Drosophila melanogaster: one gene and its partner. The protein of the gene in region 1 purifies or fractionates together with the protein of each later gene. This does not show direct contact. Each region holds a gene or a part of one and is shown on either strand. Other genes may lie near its edges.

What was found.
Region 2: the proteins of armi (region 1) and fs(1)Yb purify together in Drosophila melanogaster (affinity purification with western blotting; 6 studies listed by BioGRID, with this or other methods). This does not show direct contact.

What each region holds. Positions count from the first base shown.
Region 1 is NT_037436.4:3,459,490-3,466,922, reverse strand, and holds armi (armitage), read right to left. Parts: upstream 5,607-7,433; 5' UTR 5,461-5,606; intron 5,383-5,460; 5' UTR 5,349-5,382; coding exon of another isoform or gene 5,253-5,348; intron 4,820-5,252; exon of another isoform or gene 4,803-4,819; coding exon of another isoform or gene 4,620-4,802; 5' UTR 4,583-4,619; coding exon 4,139-4,582; intron 4,062-4,138; coding exon 3,633-4,061; intron 3,567-3,632; coding exon 2,964-3,566; intron 2,907-2,963; coding exon 1,944-2,906; intron 1,875-1,943; coding exon 1,071-1,874; intron 1,015-1,070; coding exon 691-1,014; 3' UTR 609-690; downstream 1-608. Other genes in the region: CycJ (cyclin J), read right to left, coding at 51-237, 301-384; CG46463 (uncharacterized protein), read right to left, coding at 4,620-4,802, 5,253-5,348; eIF5B (eukaryotic translation initiation factor 5B), read left to right, coding at 6,681-6,751, 6,825-7,433. UniProt on the Drosophila melanogaster protein: Probable RNA helicase required for axial polarization of the oocyte during early and mid oogenesis. Plays a central role in RNA interference (RNAi) process, a process that mediates mRNA destruction of translational repression.
Region 2 is NC_004354.4:2,718,581-2,724,658, forward strand, and holds fs(1)Yb (female sterile (1) Yb), read left to right. Parts: upstream 1-1,887; 5' UTR 1,888-1,987; coding exon 1,988-2,269; intron 2,270-2,328; coding exon 2,329-4,545; intron 4,546-4,607; coding exon 4,608-4,919; intron 4,920-4,987; coding exon 4,988-5,305; 3' UTR 5,306-5,578; downstream 5,579-6,078. Other genes in the region: CG2701 (uncharacterized protein), read right to left, coding at 1-170, 233-511, 585-1,187, 1,247-1,407, 1,479-1,595; fs(1)Ya (female sterile (1) young arrest), read left to right, coding at 5,764-5,805, 5,863-6,078.

The DNA of each region.
Region 1 (7,433 bases):
GTGCACATGGGTTTTGTGCCTGCAGCGAGGCTCCTCTGTACAGTGCTCACCCAGGTGCAAAGCACAGCGACTAAGCTTGTGGGCGCTGGTCGCCAGTTTGAGCAACTGCAGCATTCTTCGGCGCTCGTTCAGCTGCGGCGAAAGGTAAAACAAAGGCCGACGGCTGAGTTCTTGCTCCCTCATGGTCAAAAATATATCCCGGGCATAGTCGGTGAGCCAGTGCGTCTTAGCCAGGCGCTACAAATTGGTATTTAACGAAATAAAGTCGGGTTCGCAAAAGTTAAGCACATGTCCGTTCACCTCGACATCTGCTTGCGGGCAAGTTTTCTTCAATTTGCGGTCGACGACGAAGATGTTCTGCTCGGCAGCCACTTTCTGCTCCATTGTATCGAAATTGAATGCAATGCCTTAAATCACCGATTTTAAGGCAAGAACTTAACGGCGGAAAAAAGCAAAACAAATGAAGGAGAAAACAAAAGGAGCGCAAACATGGCGCTACAACGGTTCCGGCCAGTGCTACCACACTGCGAAGCCAAACGAGCAGCGTTCCCAGACTGCGCTTGGGAGTGTTACCATTCGCTAAAATTAGCACATATGTACAAATATTTAAAACAAGTTTAATGATTAATTGTGTTACTTTAATTCATCAATAACAAGTGTTTTAATTTAATAATAAACTGTCATATGTGCTTAGTTCAAATCATCTGTAGTATTCAGTGAAGGCACGAATGTTTCCAAGCAAACGGGGACCTCATCTTTCTGATTTATCACCATTTGAGGCAGATCACAGCCAAAATAGGCGTTATTTTTGACACAGAACAGGATTAGCTGGCGCCAGCATTCGTCGACGGCCAGAAGATGGGGATTCCCGAAGATGATCATCATGGCACGTGCTCGGGAAACGGCCACGTTAAGTCGCTTGCTGCAACGCACGAATCCCAAGGAGAAGCGGGCATCCATGCGCAGGATCTCTTCTGATGAACGCACCGTGGATATTAGTATAATGTCTCGTTCCTGGAAATAACAAACGTTAAGTGTGCACGTAATATCGATTTTAGTTCCGACCCCACCTGTCCCTGAAACTCCTCGACGGATCCAATCTTCGGCATGACCACGTCGGTGCCAATGAACATACTCCGAAGCATCTTCACCTGCTTCTGATAGGGCGTGATTATACCGATCTGATCGGCAGTCACATTGGCACGGTACAGGGCGATGGTCATTAGGAACACCTCCCTGACCTCTTGGGGATTGAACCAGGAAGGGGAATCGTTATTTTGCCTGTTTTCGCCAATGATTCCGTAAAAGAACGTGCCGTGCGCTTGAGGGATATCCTTTTCTGACTCAAATACACACCGCAGTTTACTTAGTAGGCGAGATTCCCTTGAATCCTTTTCGGAAAGAACTGGGATCAGTTCGTCATCGTAGAATAGCCTGCTATAAATGCTCATAATCGACGGTAATGCTCGGTAATTGTACAACAATTTGGTTAGCACTAGTGGATTGTAGCCGGAGCTTTCGGGAAATCGCTGAAGATCTTTTCGATACGGCGACCGTTCCAGCAATCTCTCCAGAAAGGATATGGAAAATCCCATTTTCGAGGCAATTCGACTGGTGACAATAGACTGCAGCTGGCGAGGATCACCTGAGAGAACAACTTGAGAGCGTTTCTTCGTTAGCATTACAATGGGTACCATTGTTTCTGGTTCGGTGCATTGACCAGCTTCATCGAACAGCACGTGAGTGAAATGGCCCGCTGGAAACCCCAATTGTAAAAAGTTTCCCAAAGTAGTGCAGGTGGAGATGGTAATGCGATGAGTACCTATAAACTTAGCTTGACAGCGAAGCTTCAATCCCGATTCGGTGACCATCATCTATAGCAAATATCAACAAAGCCAAGATTAATTGGTGTCCAATCCAAATGATAAAATTTTTCTACTCACTTTGTCCTCGCAACTGCCCACAGCACCGACATCACTTGTGGCGCAGTAGCTCATTATTTCCGGAGGAATCAAGTCTTTCTCCACTTGATTGTACGAAACGAGGCGAATGAAATCTCCCTGGAGCAAAGCTTTGCTATCGATGAGCCTCTTTGTCACCAAATCCGCTGAGCTGTTCGACGGCGTTCCCACCAAGATTCGGGCACCAGGCAGATTCCTAACCAACTGGAGTAGTGTCTCAATAAGTGTCATTGTTTTTCCACTGCCCGGAGGCCCAAACAGCACATAAGGAATGTTCTCCGCTTCACCGCGCAGTATATTGAAAACAGCACGTTTTTGGATGGAATTAAGCGACTGATTATACCACTCTAATTTCGAATCGTACAAGTACATGTCGTCATCCTTCATATAAACATCCAGCTGGGGATTCTCGCGCTTGGTTACTTTGCTGGGAAACAAGAAATCCTCGCCCATTACTCCTACAATTTTGGAGATGGCATGGTGTTGCTTGCGAAAACTGTAGCGTGAGAAATAGAACTCTAGTCGATAGTCCTCGCCATTATATTTCTCCTGGAAACTGGAATGGAATTTGAGTAAAATGCGATCGAAGAGCACCTTATGGATAATGCCCTCGTATGACTTGGTGGTCTGGGAATCGGGATCCGACCAGGGATTAATGACTCGCAGTGTATCGCCAATGACCAGCGACGGTCGACGCTCGGCTAGATTCTCGATCTGCAGCGTGAGGAACTCTCCGTCACGCAGAAAGTGTGCTCGGTCTCTGTCGTAGTTGCGAAAGTTGACGAAGCACTCGATCTCCTCGAGGTGTAGGAGCAATCTGAAACGGTGCATATAGGTTTTAATGCTTAGGGGTTCCGTGAGGAATGAATAGTGCTGCTCGATGGCCTTGATCATCTCTTGTCGCCGTTCACTAGTCAAACAAATTTGGCGCAATTCTTTGGGCACCTTAAAAGAACGGTAGTATTAAAAATAAGCATATTTTTTAATGAGAGGACTCCTTACTTCAAAGCAACCCAAACGCAGAGCAACAAATCTGCGCTTGGTAACAATTTGTTGTCCCGGGATTACATCCACCTTGTTGCACCAAACTTGGTTGGCATAGAACCGGGACCTCTCCTGGCTGTTACGACCGGGTGCCATCAAAGCTTCAGCTGCTATCATACGTTTCTCAGCTTCAGCGACTTCCTCCTTGGTTTTGCACACGATCACCGTGAAGACGCGCCTCACCTTGAGTAGATCGAAATTCAGCACGTACTTTTCGATTGCTTCCCCCAGGAACTGCGTATGGATCTCAAAGGTCACCGTTATTTCGGAGCCGCTGGATATTTCCTTTGATTCGAGAGGGCTGACCACGCTCAACTGAGACTCACTGTCATTGCAGACGGTGATGCTCTCCAGGCGCAAAGTGCGGTTTAGATTGTTGGTCAGCTTTAAAGATACGCTCTCCTTTTGCCAGAGCTCTGCGGTGATGAAACGATTTACACCAGTCACCGTCACTGCTTTTCCACTGCCGGATGATCCCATACTGCTCTGCTGAGTCAGCTTGGTAGCCCCAAAATTTTTCTCCAGCGGAGTAATCTTAATGGCGCGTCTCGTAAATTTGGACTGGGGAATTAAAACACACGTATAAAGAAGAAAATCGCAAGATTTTATGTTCCTTCTTTAACTTACATACTGGCACTCGATGAGATCGGCGAGCACAATGTCGCCCAGATGAAGATCCGTGCCTGTAGGCAAGTCTGTCTTTAAAATGTAGGTTTCCGGACCCAGCACAACCATGTGCACGTACACGCGCTCCACAATGCACTTTTCACCTTCCTGAATGCGGGTGGGAAACAACTTTGTCACCTCTAGGATTTCTCCCTGTTTGTCCACGAAACCGTCATCCAGCTGAATGTTGCACTCTAGGCGCACTCGATCTCCATTCGTTGGGATGAAGTTCATCTCGATATTGTCTAGCTCGACGGTCAGCTGTCCGTATTCCGTTTCGACGTCTATGGAAGATGCCAGACGCTGGCTAATCAGACCCAAAACGCTCCTTGTTTCGGTGTTAAAGAATGTCGGCTTTTCGTTCTTCAGGTTGTCTACAGCTTTTTCAATCTAATAGAAGTTAGGATTACAGATATTAAGCATTGGCTTTAACAAATGGCTAATAAATCTAATACCGATGAGCTTACCTCCTTTTGGCTTGTGTCCTCCCAGGAATGCTCAAGGATACTCTTCACCTTGACCACCCGCATGGCTTCCCCCGTTGTAAAAGTCAAATATTCCACTACACATCCGACGTGTAGATCCAAGATGATATCCTCTGCCACCTTCGTTTCGAATAAAACGTCTTTGTCGATGACTCCCCGATCGCCGTCTAGACTGGTGATCACTCCCTTTCTGGCGGTGCAGGAACTTTCTTTACTCACGTCCATTTCCGAAAGTCCATGCGTAAGCTCAGCGATCTTGTTACTTAAAACCCCATTAATTTCGTTTGGATTCGCCTTAAGCTGTTGATCCATCTTCTCCTCCATTAGTTTTTGGTCTAAAAAGCTATTCTCCCGATCCAAACTTTCCAGAATATCCTCCCGGTTACGATCCGGGTTCGTGAAAAACTTGCTAACGTATGTGAACATTTTTGAAAATGTTTCGCCGATAAATGCTCTGCCGTTCCTACTGCGCTGCTTTCTTGTCGAGACTCTCGTACATCCAGTCGGTTTCGCTGAGATAGCTCAATTCCTTGCGCAGATTCTGCAGACGCTTCAAGTGGTTCTCCGTCGTCTCCGCCGCCTTCCCGCCCTCGGTGGTTTCGCTCTGCGATTCCGCCTTGTCAGCTCCGATCTCGGGTTTCTTAGCCTGGAAATGTGGACCATCTGTATTGTAAACATTTGAGAACATACAATGTTACCTTCTATGACACCGAAGGCTTAAATATCCTACAATTTTCATTTAACAACATTTTGTTGTTTTACTTCTACGGACAATTTTTGAAATATTTAGAGAATATTTATTTATAAATTTAAATGTATTTATAAGAGCATATATAAAATAAAAAAATTAACATTTGTATACATTTTCTGTATGTTTTGTAACGGAAAATTAAAAACTTTGTGTTAGGGTTCTTGAATTCAATAGTGATTTGTTTTTTAGTCTAGGCTGTTAAAATAACTGCAAAAAAGCAACAGTTTGAATGGAGAAAAAGCAAACGAAAGTCTCAAGAAAAGCGACAGCAACAGTTACTCCTGCACTGCTTTCGTCTCCTTCTACCACGCCAAAACAAGGATGGCAACAACAACAAACTCATACCTCTGTTTCACTGGATTCAACGGGAATATTGGTGGCCGTACCGCTTGTAGATGCTTCTTCTTTGATGGTTATACTTCCGGATGCTTCGCTGGACATTGTCCAATCACGCGGATTTACCTTGGTTATCAAGCTGTGGACCAAATATGTGAGTTCCTTACCGGCTTTTTGCAAATGCACAGCCGGATTTGCTATTTGTACTCGTACTTACAAATATTCTTAACGCTGTTGAATTAGTAGATGCACTGCACTTTGAGTTTTAAGAGTTCAATGGGAAATAGTCATAGTATTCGAAAAAACTCTCGAGCAAAATTTTGAGCACAAAGCGTCTTGGCGAACTTTTAAGTGTGACCGGACTTAGCGGCGTAGAAAATATCCTTGGCTGTGGTATTTTCTTAAAGTGTGTCAAATTAAAGCGGTGGAATATGAAACGTGAGGAAGTTGCTTATGTATTTATATTTTCCTTATTTAAAAAAAGTTCTCAAAAATAAAATGAAACAAAAATGTAAAGTAAAGAACTCAAGAAAGTATATAAAATATCGGCAGTCCACATTTAAGTTTTTGTTTTTGGAATTTACCTCCTCACAAAAATAATACACACGAAGAACTTGTTCTTATTCTTTTATCTTTTTTTCAAGAGTACCTGTTAGTTATCTGTCACTTACATTTAAGAAATAAGCAATCAAATTCCAAAATATGCCAAATATCTTTCCGCAATCCGGAAAGTTTTTCGAGTATATGTGTAAAAAAGTCCATAGATGGTTTCTTTCTCCATAAATACCCTAGTGATCGATATTATTTAAGAGTATGTTCAATACTTTTCGCAGTTGAAATAATTTACCAATTAGGAAAACCAATAAAACCAACTGCCCTATGTCTGATGAGTAAGAAACTGAGCACCAGAGGCGATAAATGGTTCCCGTAAACAGCGCACGCCAGCGCCGAGGCCGCGATTCTATTGAAAAAGGTGTATATATATTTAATATATCTTTATGTACAACTATAGACTCAAAACAAAAATACCCCGCTCAACTGGATATTACAGGGTATAATCGATAACCTTAGCTCAGCCATTGTGATTTTCAGCAATCCACTCGCACGGTCACACTGCCTGTCCAACCCTCCCGCACCGTACTACTCGACAACGTGCTTGTGTGCAGAATTTCCTCGGCTAAATAAAACCAAAAATTGGCAAAGCGCCGTGTCAGATCTAGCCGTCGATTGCACAATTCCGGAGCAGGACGTCGTCGCTGGAGCCACCGAAGCGGAGTCACCATCAGAAGATCACCAGCACCAGGAGAACCCAGTGGACAGTCCTCCTCTTTTTCTTGGCTGCCGAGGCGTCGCGTGTGCGTATCTTTCAGCGGTGAATAACCCACGGCTTTTTGTTTTCGGCCAGAGGAGGAGCGTGTTGCAGTCGCAAACGGGAAGATGGTTAAAGCTAAAAAGGGCAAGAAAGAGATACTGACCAAGGTCGAAGGCGGTTCCTCGGTGGACGAAATGTGAGTCTTGTGCAAGTTCATGCCCACCTGCCAACTTGGCAAACTTTCTATCGCAAATTATTCAATCTTACAGCTCCGATGTGGACAGCGACCAGTTGAGCCTCAACAACAAGCAGAATCATGCCCTGAAGGGCAATCAAGCTGGCGATGACGATGTTAAAGCCGTGACCAAGGGGGTCAAGAAGCTTAATGTCAAGGGAAAAGGCAAAGCAGGCAAAAATGACGACTCCGATGAGGAGGAGGTGGTGCCCGCCAAGGGCAAAGCTTCTAAGAAGTCGGCTTTTGAGCTGCTAATGGACGACGACGAGCAGGACGAGCCAGCTGCCCAGGAAAGCCAGTCTGAGAAGGAGGAAAAGGTAGTGGTCTCCAAGCCACAGAAGAACGAAAAGAAGGGCAAAAAGGCCAAACGCAAGGGGAAGGACGACGACGATGAAGATCTGGACAAGGTTTTAGCTGAGCTTCAAGCGGAATACGCCGGCGAGGCTGCTCCTGCTGCCACTACTGTTGTTTCCCCCGAAGAATTGGCCGATGAGTTCTCCAAGAAAAAAAAGAACAAGAAGCAGGCCAAGCAGGCTGCAGTGGCAGAAAACGCCGGAGAGGATGAGGCCAGCGATGACGAGGAGGGCGGCAGCACTGTGAAGTCGGCAGCCCAGAAAAAGAAGGAAAAGAAGGAGCGCCAAAA
Region 2 (6,078 bases), on another chromosome or scaffold:
ACGGCTGTGGAGAAGTGCGCGAGGAGTCGCCGTTCTTGAATTCCTCGTCCTGGACGTTCCCCGTAACTTGGACACCGTTACTGGCCATATCGTCGGCCATTATGCCGTTGGGGCAGCTGGCCAGTGCCTTCTGATAACCGGACACCACGAAGTCCACCTCGTAGTTCTTGCTAGCGATGCAGAGATTGCGAATAAGAATAACATTGGCCACTAAGCAAGGCAGACAACTCACATATTTGGGCAACGTTGGATCAGCAGCTTCATGTCGTGCTCCAGCGGAAACTGCCGCTGGTAGTCCACAACGAAGTTCTGGGCGGAAAGGCACTCCTGCATCACTTCCACCAGCTGCTGTCCCCGTCCCGACTCCATCTGCAGGCTGACCACGCGACGAACGATGAAGATATATTGCTGGCGCGTCTCATTTAGCCAGCGCAGCGAACTCGCACCCGGGTTCACCAAGTAGATGTTCTTGTACAACATGGGCACAGTCATGTCATAGAAATTGGCAATGCTGCGAATACGAAAGGGAAGGCAATAGAATCACACAGACCACGGATGCTGATGATGATGATGATGATAATAACCTTGGGGCCAAACGCAGCTGTTCGATGGTTTCCAATAGCTGGGGACAGAGGAGCAGCAGCAGGCGCAGCGTGTATGCGCAGTCCATGGCGAAGAGCACCACATCGTCGTAGGGCGTCTCCAAGTCGACGTCCAGAGACGCCCCGCCGCCAGCACCTTCGCAGCCCTCGTTCTCCACCTGGATCTGCATGCTGAGGAAAGCGCTCTCGTAGAAGATCAGCGCCTCCTTCAGATCCTTTTGGTACTCCGGCTGCACTTCCAGCACCTTGTCGAAGATCTGGCGCAACAGTTCCACGTTCTCCGGCTCCGCATCGCCAACAGCGATGAGCAGATCAAAGAGCAGTGGCACAGAGATCAGGTAGTTGCTGTACAGCAGGCTGCCGTGTTGCTTCGGGCTAATCCACTCCGAGTCCGATTCCTTACCGGTGCACAGTCGCATTATCAGACGCACGACGAGATCGAGCAGCTGTCCGTACAGCAGATGGGCCTGGTCCAACTCCTTGTCCCGGCTGACATCTGTCTGTCTGTAGTAGGGATTAGCGCGCTGCAGGAATGTGACAACGGCCGCCATGGCCGATTCATCGTACACCATGTAGGACCAGAATCTGGCGGGGATCAAGTGTTAATGTCTTCGGTATACTGAGCGCAACACGATGTAGCTTACTCGTGCTGCGTCAGGCTCAGCAGGAACTCCATGTCCCCACGGAAATTGTTCGCCGCGAAGGTCCATTCCTCCAGTGCAGCTCCGGATTTTAGGCGTCCATAGGAGCTCAACATGCACAAATAGCTGGCAAAGGGCTTCTCGCGCTGCACCCAGTGCTCGTCCTGTCCACAAAAAAAAAAAACACATATGCATAGTACTATCTCGCCGGAGGTGCACCAACATGTCCACTTACCAGCGCCGGAACGTTCCTGCGCACCCCATCCTTGCCGGAAAGTGCAAACTTGAGTTCGTCCAGTGGCAGATTCTGTGGGTTGCAGTTGTTGTTGTTGCTGGTGTCGTTGTCCAGCATGTCGGCCCCCCCTTTGGCTGGCAACACTCTCGAATTGTTGCTAGGGTATTTCTTCAATAACAAAATTCAATAAAACTAGCGAATTTCGTGCGATGCAAGGTGGCAGCACATTGATAAGGTGGCGCACGCAGGCTCAGCTTGTAATGTCATAAGGTGCGTGAACAAGAGTTGCCAGACGATCAGAGTGGTTCGATGATTATCGATATTGAGTAGTAATCGAACTTGAAGCTTAAGTGTCGAAAGAATTCAGTTGGTTTAAAATTTTCAAACCAAAAGGAGTTTCTCTCTGCTCAAGTGGAAGGCGATAAAAAAGCCATTAGTACGCGATTTGTTTATTTACTTGGCAAAGCGCTGCACGTGACCTTGCTAGCCGTACATATATTAGGCGCAGCATGGAGCCAATTGGAGATCTGCAAGTGCCCAGCTTCAAGGTGGTGTCCGGGGGAACCACCTTCACGTACGCCAGTCCGAAATCCGGAGCAGCCTCCCTCGACTTTCTCGCGCACACCCTGCGGAAAAGGGAGGCGAACACAGAAAAAACTATTCTGATATGTCAGCAGAATTTCGAGGCCGAGCGTCTGAAATTTGAGCTCGCCGAGCGGGATGTCAACACTATTCTCCTGCCCCCGCATGGGGCAATGGTCGGTCAAGTGCTGCTCCTCTGGTCCAAGGGGGTGAGTTTGAATCGGATCACTAACATTACATCAGCGGAGGTTATTTATCCTCTTTCCAGTACATCAACCAAGCTCTAATTCTCTGCGATGGCATGCTCGAGCATCTTGGAGTAGTCGAGGCGAACCTGGTGATCCACACAACGCTGCCGGAACTGAACAAGTTCGAGGAGCGTTTGAAGTGGCTGAGCATATCGGCGAGAAACGCCGAGATGTTGGTCATAACTCCGTGCGACGAAGAGAATGAAAAAGAAGGCAAGGGAGAGACCGAACCGGAGATCGTCCAGCAAAGAATGCCACTCAAAGTAGATGCCCTAAATTCCATGCAGCTTTATGAAATAAAGGAGAATACGCCGCCGACATCATCGGAGGATTACAAGGCGGAGGCGGATGTCCTGCTAAGTGCTGCAACTCCAGCGACAATCCCAAACGACAATAAGGAGCAAGAGATAAATTTAAGCGTGGAGGATGCTACAGTAAAGCTCCTGGCTTCTTTTGAGTTGGGCAGCACTGATTCGGCGGCAGTGGACGAATCCTCTCCAGCTGCTGCTAAGTTCAATGCTCCTGTCTACTCTCCTTTCGTTACTGAAAATCCAACGAAGTCTTTGGACGCCGAGTTTCAAGAGCTCGTAAAGTCGTTTAAGGTGCAAAACGTATTCAAAAACATGAACTTGCCGCCTCCTCCCTCTGTTAGCATTGAAGAACCGGTGTCCAGTGCCTCCGCTTCTGATTATCGACATCAGATCGACACCACTTCGCTGGATTCCATTCGAACTGTGAAGGATTCACCTGCCTCTCTAGCAGTGGTTCCCTTTTCTGCAGGGGGAATAACTTACAACAACTATGGCGTTCTCGGCTGGAGTCGCCACGCGGTCGTGCCGTGCTACGGTTTGACCGAAGCGCCGGACATAAGCACCATCATCAGGCGGGCCATGCAGCAGATGGGTGTGGCTAGGTCGCGAGCGCGGGCGGTCCAGAGATTCGCCTGGCCACATGTCTCGTTGGGTAAATCCGTTTTAGTTGTGGGCAACTTACAGATCGGGAAGACGTGGTCCTACCTGCCCACCGTGTGCCAGCGCAGCCACGAGGATCTGCAGCGACGGCCAGATGTTGGCCGTGGACCTACCTGCATCTTTGTGTGTCCCAACCAGGGGCAGGGCAAACAGATCGAACGCTGGATGAGCACGTTGCTCTGTTTGCTGGGCAGTGCGTCGGGGTTTGAGGATGTCGTTACCCACTGGGACAAGACCCAATTGGTGGACATCGTTCGCCGGCTCAAAAAGCCCGTTGGAATCCTGCTAACCAGCGTGGACTTGTTGCTCCAACTGCTGAACCATAACCCGGTCGGGAGCATTTTCGATGCCCAGGCGGTGAAGTGCATAGCCTTGGATAACCTGAACGACATGGTTCGTGTCCTGCCAAACGACACGATGAAGCTGCTGCAACGATTGCCCGAAATGTTCCAGCTCACCCAAAATAAGTGCCAACTGCTCGTCTCCGGCCGCATTTGGCACACCGATCTAATGGTGCAGCACATTCTGCCTCTGATGCCCGACGTCCTCGTTCTCTTCGACGACGCCTTGGAGGCGAGTGTCTATGGCGGCGTCCAGCTGGACGTGAGAGTCGTGGCGGATGAGCCGGAGAAGATCGAGCATTTGAAGGCGCTGATCGCTGAGCGCAGGAACTTTGCCAATGAGCCCGCCGTTATGGTCTGCTCCAACTCGACAGAGGTACTCCTACTCCGCCGTAGTCTGCAAGCGATTGGGGTGAATGCACATATCTGCGTATCGGAGGCGTGCTACTCCAATGTCGCCGAGTGGCTACGCCAGTCCCCGAGTGGCCTGCTGCTGGTCACGGATGATGTGGTGCCGAGACTGAAATGCGGAAAGATCCCGCTGCTCATCCACTACAGCTTTGCCAGCATGTGGGCGCGCTTCAAGAACCGCTTCAGCCTGTTCTACGCAAACCTCAAATCGCCAACGACGCGCCCAGTCGGCCAGTCCGTGGTCTTTGCCAAGCCCACTGATTTGGAGAACATCTGGAAGCTGTGCGACTTTTACATGAAGCACAAGCTGCCCAGGCCCGGCCATTTGCTGGGAATCCTTTCGCAGCGACGCCTGGAAGAGCAACCGACAAGCAGAAGTCTCTGCCACCAAATGGCCGCTTTCGGGGATTGCCTGAGGCACAAGTGCATGTATCGCCATGTGATGTGGCGGGACGAGGTGCTGCCGCCAGATCACTATCCCAAAAATGGATTGATTCGGTTCTTGGTTCTAGTTGTAAGTACTCTCGATATGATCGCTAACAAGGCTTCACCACTAAATCCTTTTCCATTTTCTAGTGCTACAGCCCAGCTGCGTTGGCTGTGCGCTTGAGCGACCAGTTTCCCACAGCGATCCGCTTCCTCAACTTTCCGATGAGCGATCTGGGCGAGCGAGTGCAGCGCCACTACGAACTGGAGGCGAACCGGCACATGCATCCCAATCCCGTGCCCGGCGAGATGGCGGTGGTCAAGAACATCAACCGCTACGAGCGGGTGCACATTGTCAGTGTGGAAAGCAATGTCATGGTGTTGGTGCAACTGTTGGACACGTCCACCGAATGTTTTTCCTACAAAACCAGCCAGCTGTACAGCTGCGATAAGATCTTCAAGGTATGGCCATACATGATGATAGATGATAGTAGTATGGATTCACTGCAAACTGTTGTTCTCTGTCACAGGATTCACCCAGAGAAGCGATGGATTTGAGGATCCTTGGCCTGCAGCCCGAGAGCCTCGATCGCATCTGGCCCGATGACGCCCGCAATTTGGTGCGCAAGGATTTCTTTCGTCGCACGCATAACAAGCGGAATCGCCAATTCCACGCCGTCGTCCAGTCCGCCATCCATCGCACGATCTTCGTTCGCAACATATACGACGACGAGGGCAACGACCTGCTCAGCTTCGTCATCAATCGCTTTCGCTCGCATCAGGATGAGTGCTGCCAGCTCAAGCTCGATGCGATGGTGATGAGCTCCAAGGACTGTCCATATATGTAGCTTCTAGTTTCATCACTGTCCACTGACCACTGGCCAGCATTCTCTTGCGAAAGAAACCAGCTTCTTCGGAAAACCAATTCAATTTCCTATTACATTTAAACGCATTTATATAAATATTTTTCAAAATATTGTTTTACAAATATTAATGATAATCGAACGTGAGCTTTAATCGTTCGACATCATCGGATTCAAAATATTTGAGCAAGCTAAGATCTTGCCATGTGCTATTCTTAAACTTGAACTTGAAAGTGAAATAAAGGGCATGCGCTCAAGAGTTTTTTTTTTAAGTGTACTGAGTGCTTTCGTTTGTTACATGTTCATAGCTAACAATCGATATACCTAGTCTAGATCTCCTAGATCTAGTTGAGAGATTAGCTGCCATATCTAGCCAAAGAACCGTTTCATTTCCGTGCAAAGGTGTATGTCCATGTGTGTTAAGTTCGCAACTTGCGCATTTAATGTCGTTTTCCAATGTCCTAATCATGCGACAGCCCGACGAGGTAGGCTCCAAACGCATCCAAACGTTCCATCCGTAGTGACTCCACCTTGATTTCCAGGGCAAGTGCCACATTTGCAAGCGTGTCTTCTGTTGCGGCAAATGCCGCCAGAAGCATCAGTTCAAAGCGCACGCCATTGCTGTGCGCGAGCCATTGGGATTGAGGTCTGCCGGCGGCGGTATCATCGAGCATCGCCATCAAATGGAGTCCGGCGCGACCACCATCTATGTGTTCTGTCCGATCTGCGAGCGGCGTCCCCTGCTGCTGCGCGAGGAG